Canis lupus familiaris: one gene and its partners. The protein of the gene in region 3 interacts with the protein of the main gene of each other region in a pairwise test. Links are inferred from orthologs where the notes say so. Each region holds a gene or a part of one and is shown on either strand. Other genes may lie near its edges.

Evidence for each region.
Region 1: the proteins of EHD3 (region 3) and RBSN interact in binary tests that used the Homo sapiens proteins (3 or more experiments, as listed by UniProt). The link is inferred for Canis lupus familiaris from reciprocal best matches to the Homo sapiens genes EHD3 and RBSN.
Region 2: the proteins of EHD3 (region 3) and MICALL1 interact in binary tests that used the Homo sapiens proteins (3 or more experiments, as listed by UniProt). The link is inferred for Canis lupus familiaris from reciprocal best matches to the Homo sapiens genes EHD3 and MICALL1.

The regions. Positions count from the first base shown.
Region 1 is NC_049241.1:5,268,153-5,273,235, forward strand, and holds the start of RBSN (rabenosyn-5), read right to left. Parts: upstream 3,431-5,083; 5' UTR 3,131-3,430; intron 1-3,130. UniProt on the Homo sapiens protein: Rab4/Rab5 effector protein acting in early endocytic membrane fusion and membrane trafficking of recycling endosomes. Required for endosome fusion either homotypically or with clathrin coated vesicles.
Region 2 is NC_049231.1:27,739,829-27,744,869, forward strand, and holds the start of MICALL1 (MICAL-like protein 1), read right to left. Parts: upstream 3,431-5,041; 5' UTR 3,417-3,430; coding exon 3,271-3,416; intron 2,858-3,270; exon of another isoform or gene 2,760-2,857; intron 1-2,759. UniProt on the Homo sapiens protein: Lipid-binding protein with higher affinity for phosphatidic acid, a lipid enriched in recycling endosome membranes. On endosome membranes, acts as a downstream effector of Rab proteins recruiting cytosolic proteins to regulate membrane tubulation.
Region 3 is NC_049238.1:24,855,556-24,860,462, forward strand, and holds the start of EHD3 (EH domain-containing protein 3), read left to right. Parts: upstream 1-1,804; 5' UTR 1,805-1,871; coding exon 1,872-2,098; intron 2,099-2,945; exon of another isoform or gene 2,946-3,002; intron 3,003-4,907. UniProt on the Homo sapiens protein: ATP- and membrane-binding protein that controls membrane reorganization/tubulation upon ATP hydrolysis. In vitro causes tubulation of endocytic membranes. Binding to phosphatidic acid induces its membrane tubulation activity.

The sequences.
Region 1 (5,083 bases), on a different chromosome or scaffold from region 3:
ATTTAAAATCCAGCTGGGCCCCACCGCCGAGCAACCTCTCATACTCCCACTGCCTTCTCACCTCCAGAGTCTTCTTTTTCTAAAAGCTCTGTGTCCACTCCTGGGAAGTCTTTCAAACTCAATAGTGCACATGCACCTTCTGTAAAAAGAGAGGCTGCCTCTGGCCAGGCATTGGCCCACATGGACTGAGAGCTGAGAGGCTGGTCTGGGGAGAGAGCTCCCTTGCTACAGAAGCTCTGTCAGTCAACTATTGCTGTGTAACAAACACTCCTGAGCTCAGTGGCTTAAAACAAACCACTAAACTCAGTGACATGAGCATTTGCTTTTGTTCACTAGTCCACTTACCAGCTGGGCAGTTCTTCCGGTCTTGGTTGGACCCTCTCCTACATCTGAGATCAGCCACTGCCCAGGTATGCAGCCCTGAGGATCTTGCCAGAGCTCTCTCACATATTTGGGGATTGATTTGTCTAGAACAGCTTTGACTGGGTTAAATGAGTTCTGCTCCATGGGGTCTTGTAGCTTCTATCAGGCCAGCTCGGGCTTGTTCACAAAAAGAGAGCAAGCAAGGATGTCTGGGTGGCTCAGTGGTTGAGCATCTGACTTTGGCTCAGGCTGTGATCCCAGGATCCTGGGATCGAGTCCTGCATCGGGCTCCCTGCAGGGAGCCTGCTTCTCCCTCTGCCTGTGTATCTGCCTCTCTCTGTGTTGTCTCTCACAAATAAATAAAATCTTTAAAAAAAGAGAGAGAGAGAGAGAACAAGCAGAAGCATGCAAGGTCTCCGTAGGCTAAAGCTCAGAACTGTCACATTGTCACTTCTGCTGTCTTTTAGCCTTCTGTTGGCCAAAGCAAGTCATAGGACTGGCCTAGATCCAAGGATGGAGAAATGGACCCATCTCTTTCGAGAAGGAACCACAAAGGGGTAGGTATCCATTCATAGGCTGCCATCACAAACAGACTGGGTGACTTAAACAACAGAATTTTGTTTCCTCACAGTTCTGGAGGCTGGAATCCAAGATCAAATTGCTGGCAGGACTGATTTCCTCTGAGAACCCCATCCTTGGCTTGCTGATGGCTTCCCCCTCTCTGTGTCTTCACACAGTCTTCCCTCTGTGCATGTCTGTATCCTAATTTCCTCTCCTCCTAAAGACACTGCATGGGTTTGAGTTCCTGTAATGACCTCATTTTAACTTAATCACTTCTTTAAAGACCCATCTCCAAATATGGTCACATTCTGGGGTAGCAGAGGTTAGAAGTGCAACATACAAATTTTGAAGTTATATAACTCAGTCCATGAAGGATAGAGACTATGCCCATCTTTGCTTCATCTAGCACAGACACCTTGCTTTATCCTACGTATGATGATGACCCTACAAAAACATCACCAATTCACTCACGAGGAAGCTGAGGTTCCCAGGTGGTAAGTGGCTTAGGGAACCAGCCCAGAAGTCCAGGACCTTCAGACTAAAAGGCTCTCTCACATTCCCTTTTCCTCACTGGGGGTATGTTCCCGGGCAGAGCCCAAGATGGGGGCAGGTTATCTGGAAAACCAGTTCTTCCTCTTGAACAAGCTGATGTGAGAAACAGGGCAAAGGCCAGCCATGCCCTGCCCCCATGGGTCCCCTCCTCCCTGGATCCACACACAGAACACCCAGGTCTCCCCTCCCTTGACCTGGAAACACACTGGTTAGTTCTTGAAACAGAGCCTTGAATTCGGGATGTCAGGCACACTTCCCAGGCTCCTGCAGGGTGCCACTCCTGGTCCTTTCCAGACAGTTTTAAAGCGGGGAAGAGTATCCTTCCCACATTCGTATCAGACTGCTTTTTACTTCTGGCATAAGCTGTGCTGTTTTCCTGCTTCCTCACCTTTGCATATGCCATTCCCTCTGCCTGAAGTGCCCTTCCCTTCTCTCCTACCCCTCTGAGCCTGGCTAACTCCTCATCAACCTCTAGAACTCATTTCAGTGGTGCCTGGGTGGCTCAGTCAGTTAAGCATCTGCCTTTGGCTCAGGTCATGATCTCAGGGTCCCGGGATCGAGCCCCCCCATCCTGCTCAGTGAGGAGTCTGCTCCTCCCCCCTGCTCATGATCTCTCTCTGTCAAATAAATAAAATCTTTTAAAGGGGGTTGCTGCTCCTGTCTTAATCATGTACCAGCCACACCCTACTTGTGGAATTTGAGCAAGTTCTTTTTTTTTTTTTAAGATTTTATTTATTCATGAGAGACCTGAGCTGAAGGCTCAACCACTGAGCAACCCAGGTGCCCCAAATTTGAGCACGTTCTTTAGCCCCTCCGTGCATTAGTTTCTTCACCTGTAATTGTGTGAAGATCCAGGGAGTTACTATATGCCAAGTACCTAGAAGAGTCTCTGGCACAAAGTCAGTATGCAGAGATGCCTGAGTGGCTCAGCAGTCTAGCATCTGCTTTTGGCTCAGGGTGTGATCCTGGAGACCAGGGATCGAATACAACGTCAGGCTCCCTGTGAGGAACCTGCTTCTCCCTCTGCCTGTGTCTCTGCCTCTCTTTCTGTGTCTCTCATCAGTAAATAAATAAATCTTTTTTAAAAAGTCAGTATGCAATACATGTGAGCTATTATTTGTGTTATTATCCCCCAGAGCCCTGAATAGGACCTGGCCCGGGAGTTATTTGCTGAATTAATGAATTATGAATGACCTTCAGCTTCATGAACAGAAGACGGGAGCATGGGGATGAGAAATAAGAATATCACCAAGCGCCTTAAGCATTTTAATTAGAGCCTCCTGCACGCCCCCGTGCTGTCTGGCCACCGCTTTCTGCTCCTATTTTTGTTTAGCCTGGGTGGCACTTTGAGGATCAGAATTTGGGGCATCATCTTCTGCCTGCGTCCTGAGCCCATGTGCCAGACCCAGTGGCCTCCCACATGCCTCCCAGCCGCTGCTTTAAATAGCTTCCTTTTGCTAACTGTTAATATAAAGCCGGGAGCAGAGCTTATGTAAGCCGACCAGCATTTCCCCCAACTTAGCTGAGACCCTGAGTCCTGTAAATCCCACCAGAGGGGGCATGCGGGCTTGTCCCACCAACAGGGGCCCTGGAGCATCAATCTTCTGGAGAGACAGGTGGCAGAGGCTCAGGGGAGCTCTGGGGAATCACTCACCTGTCCCTGGTTGTACTTAAAGAATTCAGATACTTGTCTCACATCTTCCCATTGATCTGGAACAGACCTGGACCTCGGGGTCTTTGACATTCTCCATGTGATTCTGATGCTCAGCAAGATTGAGGATCACAGGCCTAGAGCCTCTGGCTTCATCTACCAACCACTGGGTGGGCTCTTTCCAGGCATTAAGCAGGGGTCTCACTTTCCTGACCCCCACCCACTTTTTATAAGCGACAGCAACACTTCTGGGCATAGTCCTTGAGTCCACTGGGTGGTCTGTGTGCCTCCTGTGCAATTTTGCCCTCTCTATAAACCACCTGTTACTTACTTTGAATACTACTCACTTTTAAATTTTAACTTCATTCTAAGAAGATGTGAAATAATGGACTGGATGTACTAGTCTGTTTTCTTTAATACACAAATAAAGGCCAGACTGTTAAAATTTAAACCCATATGCTACAGAAAATCATTTTGTGCAGAGCCAGGAGAGGGAGGGAGCAGGGAGGAGTCACCCCAGGGTACATGGGATCAGGGAATAGAGGGTGCCTTCCAGGGTTGCATATCAAGAAAGGCGATGGGACAACTCCCAAGTCAAGACCAGCATAAGTATGTGGAAAATGCTTAGAATATCTCTAGGGGAACCTACAAGAAACTAGTAAAAATTACCACCTCTGGATCTTTTGGACCTTTTTTTTTTTAAAGATTTTTTATTTATTTATTCATGAGAGACAGAGAGAGAGAGGCAGAGACACAGGCAGAGGGAGAAGTAGGGTCCATGCAGGGAGCTGACATGGGACTCGATCCTGGGCCTCCAGAATCACGCTCTGGGCTGAAGGTGGTGCTAAACCGCTGAGCCACCTGGGCTGCCCCCCCTCCTTTTTTTTTTTTTTTTACTTTTAAAAATAAATCTTTCGGGGTGTCTGGGTGGCTCAGTTGGTTAAGCGTCTGCCTTTGGCTTAGGTCATGGTCCCAGGATCCTGGGACTGAGTCCTGCATCAGGCTCCCTGCTCACCAGGGAGTCTGCTTCTCCCTCTCCCTCTTCCCCCTGCTCATTCTCTCTCTCTCTCCTCTCTCTCAAATAAATAAACAAAATATTTTTAAAAATAAAATAAAAAAATAGGGCAGCCCGGGTGGCTCAGCGGTTTAGCACGGTCTTTGTTATTTTTTGTTTTTGTTTTTGTTTTTTTTGTTTTTCGAGCAAAACAAAATCAAATTTAATGGTCTTAAATGCAAAAGTAAAAACAAACAAAAAACACAAAAAAGCAAAAGAAAATTAACAGAACAGAACAACCCAAAATGTCAAGGCAGTTATGAAGAGAACTTGGGAGGGTTAATCTTTAAAACTACAAATCAAAGTGTTTTTTTTTTTTTTTTGTTAATAGATAACTGGCAAGAAGTAAGTACTTTTCTGCTGAGTGTTCATACGAAAGCAAAGTTTCAAAACAAAATCCGACTAAAATAGAAACAAGTCTAGCGCTCACGAGAAGGGATGCGAGAAATACAATGCTCAAATGTTTCTGTGTTCTTAAAATATAGAGCGATCTTAGGCATTCGAGCTGTGTGAACTGCTCTTGGAAAGTGGAGAAATGGTTGGGAACACCAGCGCCCGGTGTGCGGGGCACCGTTAGCACGGTCTTTGGCCCAGGGTGTGATCCTGGAGACCCGTGATCAAGTCCCACGTCAGACTTCCTGCGTGGAGCCTGCTTCTCCCTCTGCCTGTGTCTCTGCCTCTCTCTGTGTCTCTCATGAATAAATAAATAAAATCTTAAAAAAAAATAAAAATAAATCTTTTTATTTTTCAAGAGAAAGAATGGGCTTAACAGAAGAGTCGCAGATAGAGATGCCAGTGTCCCACTCCAACTTTAGCTGAGAATGTCCAGTGCTATCCAGGTAGCAGTGGCACAGAGCTGGGGTGGGGGCACCTGGCGTTCTAGTCACTGGAGACCAGCTGCC
Region 2 (5,041 bases), on a different chromosome or scaffold from region 3:
GGATGTCACAAACCCAGAGGAGCCATACCTACTTGCTGAATCCCCAACCCAGCCCAGAGACGAATGTTTTTTAATGGGGCCAGGAAGAGAACAGGTTTGAATCAGACTGGAAATCGTACGTGCTCCAGAGCTACTGACACTAAATGTCTCTCTCACCCCCCGGCCCGGGGCCGCCCCTGGGCCACCCCTGGGGACACCCTCTCTTGGGGAAGCGGCACAGGGCCTCCCAGTTTGTAAGCTGGGACAGGTGAGAGGCAGCAGGGCCTGTCCTGGGGACCCTGGTGGGAGACAGCTGGCTGGCTGGCCGGCTCTATCCATCCTCTTCCTCCCCATCAGTGCTCCAGGCTGCTCGAGTGGCTGAAACTCAGCCTTCTGGCTCGGCAGCCTCCTGGGTACACCGGCCCCGAGCCTTGCCCTTCTATGGCTGAAAACTGCAGCCCTGCCTCGCCCACATGGTGGGCCCAGAGGCCGGAGCAGACGGCACCACCTCCCAAGTCAGGGTCCCGGGCTCTGCTCTTCCAGGCCTGGCTGTGTGACCTTGGGCAGGTCGGCCGTCTTCCTGACTGACCTTCATCTATAAGTTGGGGGAACCTCCAGTACCCCCTCCCAGGTTGGTGGGGAGGGTTGGTTGAGTCTGGGCTTGGTGAGGGGCACGCCCCCCTTCTCCTGCCCCAAACTTCTCCAGGCAGAGTCCAGGTACGATGACCAGTGGGAGAGGCAGGAAAGGGTAGCCTGAGAACCCCAGAGGGAGGTGCCCCAAGGCTGGATGGACTAGGTCAGGGGAGCTGACTAAGTATGAGCCTCAGCCATTTGCCACCTCTGGCCAGGCTGCTTCCTTTTCTCCCGCCCTTCCCCCCAAAGCTGAGTCCCTAAGCCCTTCTGCTTTGCCACTGCCTAAGAGTGTGACCAAAAGCAAGTTATCTAATATCTCTAAAGCTTGGCCTCCTGATCTGTGACACTGTGAACAGGTGAGGGGTCACCAGCCCAGCCCCAACAAAGGCTTGTTCGGAGACCAAATGAGACCAAAGCAATTTGTCTTGGCAGCTAATTTCAGTCTCCCCAGCAGTGTTTCTAGAAGGCTGGGGTCACTTTTTGTTCACCCTGTGCTCCCAACACCCTCTGTAGTGCCTGATATTTAGTAAGTGCTCAAGAAATGTTTATTGAATGAATAAACAAACAGTGTGAAGACTGTAAAGGCCCCAGAGATACTAGTTTCTCCTCCAGCTTCTTCCCCACCCCCATCTCTGTCCCAATTCAACATCTGGGCTTTGGTAACACAGATATTTTCTGAGAGTTTTCAAAAGCCCGGGAAGTTCTATTTGGCTCCAAGGGAGATGAAGTACACAAAAATGAAACCCACATGGTCTCTGTCCTCAAGGGAGCTTAAAGATGTCTGGATTGGTGAGGGGAGGCAAACAATGAACCAGGCCCCCCAGCATGGCAAATCCCACACCCTAGCAGAGGAAGGGCCACAGCTCCAAGAGCTTGAACGTCTTCTGATGATTCTTGCTCTCAGCCCCTACCCTACCCTTACTCTCATGAAGATCCTCCCTATGCCTCCTGTGGCAGCTGGGCCTCAGTTTTTCTTCTGTATAATGGGCCAGTAGCCAAGGCACTGGCCTGCTCCACAAATGAATGTCTATACATGATCCTGGATCTCTTCTCAGGAGGGGAGCTGCCCTCCCCTGCTTAAAACCCACGAAGCTCCACGTGGCTCCATCCACCCTCCTTAGCCAGCAAGGAGCCCTGGTGCTCCGGGCCAGCTGCATCTCCTGATCCTCCCTGCCATGTGCTAAGGGCCCCAGCAGCACTCCCCTCTCAGGGCCTCTGCTCTGGTGGCCCCCTCCATCCGCCAGAACGCCCTTCCCTCAGCAGGCACCTGGCTCCTGCTATCTCCATTACCACGCAGGGCCCAGCACAGAGTAGTAACTATAAATACTGTTGAAAGAACGACGAGTAACACACACTCATCACACCCCATAGTGTAATATAATAACTAATGTTAATTAAATGCTCGTTACCTCCTGTAATCCTCACAACAATTCTGTAACAGAGACCCTATCATCAACCCCACCGTTGACACCCAGGCTGTCACATGCCCCACAGGAGGCAGAAGCAGCCCACCTCAACTCCTTAGCTTCTGCAGCCACTTCCCCCCAAATCCTCCCCTCCACATCCCAACACAGGGCCCGACCTGGCACCCAGACATTGTACCACAGGTACAGAGTAAACCAAATGCATCTGTACCAGCGGATCCTTGAGGCCATCCTCTCCTCCCTTCTCGCCTCCACCAGGGCCCTCCCAGGGAGCACAGGTCTGCAGCAGGACACCCCAAGTCTGCAGACCCTGCCAGGCCCGGGGAGCCCTGTCGGGGGCACTGTTGGCAAGAGAGGCCCTGAAGAGGTCTCTGGGTCTCAAGTTGCAGATGAGACAGGAAGCGCCAGGAACCCTGTGCCTCAGCTTCATGTTCACTCAGCGTTTGATGAATGAGTGAATACATGGAGAGGTTCCAGGGCCCAACACACAGAGAGCTGAGATAGAAGCCCCAAGTCAACGGCTCTGGGGGTCTGAATAAGTTTTTCCATGAGAACCTCACTGGGCAGCTGGGGGGGGGGGGCAAGAAGGAGCCATCTCACACCCCGGGCAGCCCAGGCGGTGGCTGGTGTCAGGCAGACCTCAGGAGTCTTCACCCAGCCTCCCTGCCCCGGTGAGGACGGCAGGCCTGTGGGCACACACTGGGAGGCAGATCTGCGTCCTACCTGGGGTGGGAGACGGGGTGTGTATCATCCAACCACTACTGACCCAGGGTCTCCTCCCTGGAGCCAAGATGGCACGGGGGAAGGAGACAAGGGAGCAGGGCCCCTCACGGGCCGACGGGCCTCACTGCGGCGCGGGGAGCGGCGCGGGGAGCGGCGCAGGGTCCCCAAGGAGGGCCAGGTGTCCCTTTGGCGGAAATCAGTGCCCTGTGGGCGCGGCCGGGGCGGGGGCGGGGGCCCCTGGGGCGGGGGCCAGCGGGGAGGCGCAGGCTGCGGGGCCGCGGGGCCGCGGGGCCCCGGGGCGGGGGCGGGGCCTCGTGGGGGAGGGGCCCCGGGGACGAGCGCTCGGGACCCGCGAGCCGTTGGGGGCCCAGCGCCCGGGTCTGCGTCGCGGGCCCCGGGGGGCGGCGCCTGCCACCGCCCGGCTCCGCGTCACTGAGGGGGGCGGGGGTCCCCGGCTCGGGCCCGCGCCCCCGCGCCCCGCGCCCCCGCCCGCCGCATCCCGGGCACTCACAGCAGGTCGGGCCGGTGCCGGTGCAGGATGGCGCAGAAGGCCAGGCCGTCCCGGAAGGAGCTGCTCAGGTCGCGGACGTCCACGCCGCGGTAGCCCTCGCACTGGCGGCGGCACCAGGCCAGCAGCGCGCCCCGCGGCCCCGCCATGAGCCGCGCGGGGCTCGGGCCCGCCTCCGGGCGCCGCCGGCACCAGGCTTCAGCCCCCGGCCCGGCTCCGGCCGGCTTCCGGCGGCGGCTCCCGCGGCGGCTCCAGCGCCGACTGCCGCGCCGCTCCGAGCTGCGGGCGCCGACCCGCGGGCGGCGGGCGCAGGGCGGGGAGGAGGCGGGGCCGCGGCCGCGGGGTCCGCGCTCGGGCTGGGCTCGGGCTGGGCTCGGGGTCCCGGCTGCGCTCGCTGCCGCCCGCCCCGCCCTGCCCGGACCTGCCCGAGCAGCCGCCGCCCGCGTGGCCCGGCCCGGCCGCCCGCTCGCCGCCGCCGCCCCCTCGCTGTGGGCCGGCCGCGGGCGCCCCGCTGGCCCGGGTCCCCGCCCGCCGCCGCCGCCGCCGCCGCCGCCGCGGGGAGTGGGGTCCTGGCGCCCCACCCAGCCGCGGCTCCGCCCCCCGACGCGCCCCCGCCCGCCCGCGGGCCCGACCCCGCGCAGCCCCTTGCTGGGCGAGCCGGGTCGCCGCTCCTCCTCGGGAGCCCCCGAGAACTCCGGGACGGCCCCTGGAGCCCTGTGACCCACTGCGACCTCGCCGGCCGCGAGGGGCTTCTTCCACCCGACGACCCTCACCACGGTGCCCACCTGGAATCCTTTCTCCGCTCCTGCCCTCTTCCCGCTCCTTGGCCTAAGGACCTGCAGACCCCCCACACCGACTTTCCCTAAACCCACTGAGCCCTCCTGCCTGAAACGTTGGGCAGGCAGTGCCCCTGCTGAGCCCAAAGCACCCCAGATGGCCACCAGCTTCCCTGACCCCGTCTCACCCCTCCAAAACACCCCTGACCTCCACAGTCTGTCACCCTCCCCTCCCCCCATTGCCTGCCAGACTTCAGCCCCCACCCCCATCAGTCCAGGTGTGCACTCAGTGGTGTCTTGAGCCTGACAACTGGTCCTTCGGAGTGCGCTCCCCCTGTGTCGGCCCCTGTGTCGGCTCCTCCCGCCCCAAGAAGTGGTGGGGGGTGGGGCCCCGTGGGCAGAACCCATAGGAAGCAGGCCCTTGTCTGGTGGGGCTCTGGGCCTCAGGGCTTTGGAACCCCCAAGCCTCCTGCTCCCCTCTCCAAGACCTGGGTCAGCGGCTCCTCCCCCCAGAAGTCCCTCCTGACCTCAGATGAATCAGCTTTCCACTCAGCTGCCATGGTGGTGACGTCACTTTGACCAATATAATAGCTGGGATAGGTCTGTCGCTCCACCCCCAAGGGAAGGAGCAGGGTCTTAGTCACCGCTGTCACCCCTTAGCTGTTGGAGGCTGGGAAGAGCAGGGCTCTGGGAGTCCTATCCACCCAGGCTGGAATCCTGGCTTTCCCCAGTCCCTTGGCAGTATGATCTTGTGCGCCCTCGAACCTGTTTCCATAGCTTAAAAATAGGGATAATTCCTGAGTCAGGTATAGAATTGTTGAATCAGTATATTGTACCCCTGGAACTAATGGAACAATGCATGTTAATTATTCTCAAGTAAAGAAAATAGAAATAATTCTAGCTTTACAAAGTGGCTGAGAGGATTCAGATATAACACACCCGACCTTTCAATCACTTGTAAATTGTAATTATTGTTACCTGGTAACCTGGTAAATGTG
Region 3 (4,907 bases):
ATATGTTCCGCCTCAGAGCTGCTATGAGGGGTGAATGGCACATGCCTGCTGAGAGCTTAGCCCAGGCCCCTGCACATGCTGAGCGCTTAGTTACTGTTGACAATTATTAGTAATATCAGTATTATTGGCTCCTTATCCCCCATGTGATGTTTGCTCTGGCAAGCAAAGCCTTTTGGACTGGCCTCACTCACTCCCTTCCACCCTCCTGAACCCTACACTCTAGCTATAGAAACTGTTTACTCTGACTTCTTCCATTTTTCTCAACCTGTGCAAATGCCCTGTGGACAGCCTGGGATGACTTTCCTGCTTTTCTGGAGATTCATCATTTAAGATCTAGCATGTAGTCCTGCTTTCTGGGAAGCCTTGCTCAGATTATACAGACCAGGGCAGCCTGGGTGGCTCAGTGGTTTAAGCGCCGCCTTCAGCCCAGGGCGTGATCCTGGAGACCTGGGATCGAGTTCCACATCAGGCTCCCTGCATGGAGCCTGCTTCTCCCTCTGCCTGTGTCTCTGCTTCTCTCTCTCTCTCTCTCTCTCTCTGTGTCTCTCATGAATAAATAAATAAAATATACATTTAAAAAAATGTTATACAGACCAAATGAATGCCTCCTCCTCTGTGCACCCATGGCCCTCTGCTCCTGTCTCCTCCTTACAGCTCCCGGAGAATGGGGCTCCCGGAAGGGAGAGCCTATGTGTGCTCATCTTTGTGATTAACTTTGTATCCACAGTCACCATAATTGCGTCTGCCCTGTAATACAGGCTCACCACTTATGGGAGTTTTGCTTGCTTAGTTTTGTTTTACTGGAAGAGATAAACAGATGAATGAATGAATGAATGGGAATTCATTCTTTTGACTTCACCCTAGATCTAACAAAAAGTTTGGGCAGTGGCCTTTCTGGTCATTTTTGTGTAACCTGATATTGGACTCTTCTGTGCCCCAAGAAAAAGTCTCCCCAATACCAGGTACCTGTCCTCCTGAGGAATTGGCCTCAGGCACTAAAGGAAAGGCTGTCTTAATAGCAGGGAGAGGGCGGAGGGGGTCAGCTCCGTCTTCACAGCCGTCCCTGAGAGGGCGCTGTTCCCAAGTCAACCCTCCAGAGGCCGGAGCTGAAATACCGGAGCGTTCCCCCGGGGCTCAGCATCCCTCCCTTCCCGGCTGCGGTCGCCGGGTCCCCAGCGGAGCGCCTGCCCACACACATGGCGGCGCCCTGCTCAGCTTCTCGGCGCCGGCACCGACAGGCCGGGCTGGCCTTGCCAGTACTCGGGGACTTCCTCCGCGAGCCCGCTTCCTGCACGGCTGGCATTTAAACCGGCGCCTGGGGCTGCGGGCTGCTGCTGCTGCGGAGCTGTGCCCGGGCTGCGCAGCGCCGCCGAGCCGCCGAGCATCCCCCCGCGCCGAGCCGCCGAGCATCCCCCCGCGCCGAGCCGCCGAGCATCCCCCCGCGCCGAGCCGCCGAGCATCCCCCCGCGCCGGCCGCCGAGCATCCCCTCGCGGCGCCGGGGCCAGGGCGGGACAGGTCGGCGGGGGTGCGGCGGCGCAGATCGGGGACCCGACATCGCACCCCGGCACCTGGCAGTTTAATTGCAGGTTTGACTTTAATTTCCCGGATCGCAGCCCTTCTGCCCGGCGCAGATTATCTCTCCTCCGGGCCCCGCCCGGGTCGCCGCTGGCGGCGGGAGGCGGGCCGGGCCGCGGGAAGGCGCTCAGCAGGGACCCCCCGCCCGCGCCCGGGCCATGGTGCGGCCGAGCCCGGCGCTGGGGTGAGGCGGCCGCGCGGCTCGGAGCGGCGGGCGGGCGCTGCGGGGCCCCTGCCCCCGGGAGCCGAGGGCGCGGACGCGGGGCTGCACGCCCGGGGGGCTGCGGGGGCCGCGATGTTCAGCTGGCTGGGTTCCGACGACCGCCGGCGGAAAGACCCCGAGGTCTTCCAGACGGTGAGCGAGGGGCTCAAGAAGCTCTACAAGACCAAGCTGCTGCCCCTGGAAGAGCATTACCGCTTCCATGAGTTTCACTCGCCCGCCCTGGAGGATGCGGACTTCGACAACAAGCCCATGGTCCTGCTGGTGGGCCAGTACTCCACGGGGAAGACCACCTTCATCAGGTGAGCCGCCCCGGCCCTGGCCGCCTGCCCGCCTCCCCGCCCGGCGCCTGGGTCCTCCGGCGCTCCTGGCGGCCCCCTGCCCGGGACGAACGGGAAGCCTTCCTTCCCTGGAGGGCGCTGAAGAAAGTCTGGTGTTTGTGTGCGCAGAGCTGACCCCACCGTTTCACTGCTGGTCCCCCACCCCGCCCTACCTACTGCCTCTCTGCTCCCGAGGTCAGTTTGAAGTGTTCAAGTTCAGAGCCCTCTGCATTCCCCCTCATTTTATGGATGATGAAACTGAGGCCTGGACGGCACAGTGAGAAAACTGGTCACAAGAGCACCTTATTGCTGGCTGGGGGTGCCTCACACCCTCACTTATTAGGGGCATGCCCTTCATGGCCTGGACCACCTCCCCTGCCTTTTAAAGGGCTCAGCCACTCACGTGGGGGGCTCTGCAGCTGCAGCTGAGGAGGTGGACTGGGGACTTAGCTCCTGCTGGGGCAGTGCCACTTGTCCTTTTTTATCAGCTTCCCTCTCTGAGCAGAGCTCCTTGTGTAGATCTCTTGGAGACTGGACAGGAACGTATCAGACGCAGAATGCTTTTTTCTCTTCCCCTGTTTGATCTTAATGGCTCAGTAATAACATTAACGTCTTTTAGAGGTGGAAGAGATGTGGGCAGATTGTCTCATCCAGTCCCTTGACTTGGCAGGTGAGATGACCCAGGCTTAGAGGGGTTAAGTGACTGTCCAAAGCCCCGTAACTGAGTAGGAGGCCCACCTGGGCTGCTGGTCTTAGATGCATGGGCGGAGATGCTTGGCTAAATGCCCGTGACTCTGAGGGTGAGTCATCTATTCCCTTCAATTCCAGAATCCTAGGCCTGAGGGGTCCTCAAGAAGGCAGCCTGTCCACCCGGCACTCGGAGAAGGTCCGTACCTTATCCACCAGAGTGATGACCATCTTTCCTATCTTTGCAGGACAGGCTTCTCTCCAGACCTCAGTCCATACAACCTGCAAGGCCAGGCAGTTTCCTCTGGCCTCATTTACAGCCATTGCCAAGCTGCTGCAGGTGCTTTGTGGCCCTCTGTCGAGTCAGACTCCTGTTGTGTGGCAAAGGGTGTGGTGGCCAAAATCAGTGATGCTCAGCTCCTGCAGAAGGTTTCAAAGCAGGGTTCCCATTCAAATCAAATCTTGTTTCCATCCCAGGCAAATATTGACCAGCCGAGCACCTGCACCATGCAAAGCACTGTGCTTTGTTTGGCAAGAGCAGAAAAGTTAACAGTCTGGTTACTAATTTTCTAGATACTAATTTTCTCTAGTGCTAAGCTTATACACAAGCCTTCTGGGAGCAGGGCTTGCGCCATGCTAACGTGTCATGTCTGAACAGAACACCAGATCGGGTTTCCCTTTGCGGGGTGGACAGCCTTGGGCTCAGCAGCTTTGAAGGCTGAGTGATTTCTAAAGAAGTTAGGTACCCGGGGTGGGGGGTGGGGAGCTGTTGGCTTTTGGATACCTTCTGTTGTCAGAACTGCAAGGACTCTTAGCAGTGAATCTAATCCATTGCTTTCTTAGCTTTTTAAAAGGTCAGTATATCCTTTGAAAATCTAACAAAAGCTGTGGCCCTATCTTTAGAAAAAATGCACAGATACATACACAGAAATGTACAAATTTACATATAATCTCACGGGGAGAACCTCTGATGGAACCCACTTCCCTTAGTTCAGTAAGCACCTATTGCTGCCCAAGGCACTTCAGAGCTCCTTAGGCTCTGCACAAGATTTCCTTTGTCATCCGTGTCCTCCTCCGTCTGGCCTGGTTTGTGCCCCACGGGAAGGTACGGGCCCTCCTTGGCCCTCTGGACACACCTTGGTTATAACCCCTGGTACATAATGTGGAGCTTCTCCTTCCAGTAGCACCAGAACTTATAACTGTGCCTTAGCTCCCTGGGGCCCTCACCTGGGGTCTCAGCTCCGGGAGGCTCCCAATAGATGTTTACAGAATGGAAGGGAAGATGGGGAAAGGCGAGTGTCTCCAGGGACAGGATCCTGGAGCGGCAGACAGGTTTAAGTGCTTCTTGACTGAGACACTCTCCTTGCTTTGCCTGAGTCATGCTGGCTGTTAACTGGGTCCTAAGAGAGTGGCAGAGTCAAGTCGCCATAGATTATTCCTTATCTGAGGGAGACAGGAAGGCCGGGAGAGGCAGATCCCTCGCTTTCTTAACCTCCAAGTACAAGACTTCTCCCTCCCCAGTCATGTAGTAACTGAATTTAGCTCAGTGCATCAAAAGCCATCCCCCTCGAGGGAGAGTCCACCCCGAGGGTGGGAGGGGTTGTAGCACAGGCAAGCCCTCCAAAACCAAATTACATATTTTCCTCCTTTTCATTAAACCCACTAAGCAGCTATTTTTTTTCCATCAGAAAATGTAGACCAGAATACCTTAGAAGAGGAAGAAAAAAAAATCACTCACAAGCCCACGACTTAGGGGAAAACATTTTTAAATATAAATACATATATACTTATCTTGCCGGTATATTTAGCTATTTTGTAACACAATTGCCATAATGTAATCCTGCATGCTAATGTATTTCCCTTAGAGAAGGAGCATTTTTAAATGTCACTTCAAAAATCTTTGTAAGCATTATTTTGAAGAGCCGCATGATATTTTGCTGTGTGTAATTGCAATTATTCATTAACCAGTCTGCTTCTTTTGAATGTTTGAGGTTGTCTCTAATTTTTCAGTTGTGGAACCACCCTCACTACCTCTATGCGTAATATTTTTCTACATATTGGACTGCTTTCTCAGAGATTCCCAGAAGTGAAATCACTAGGCCAA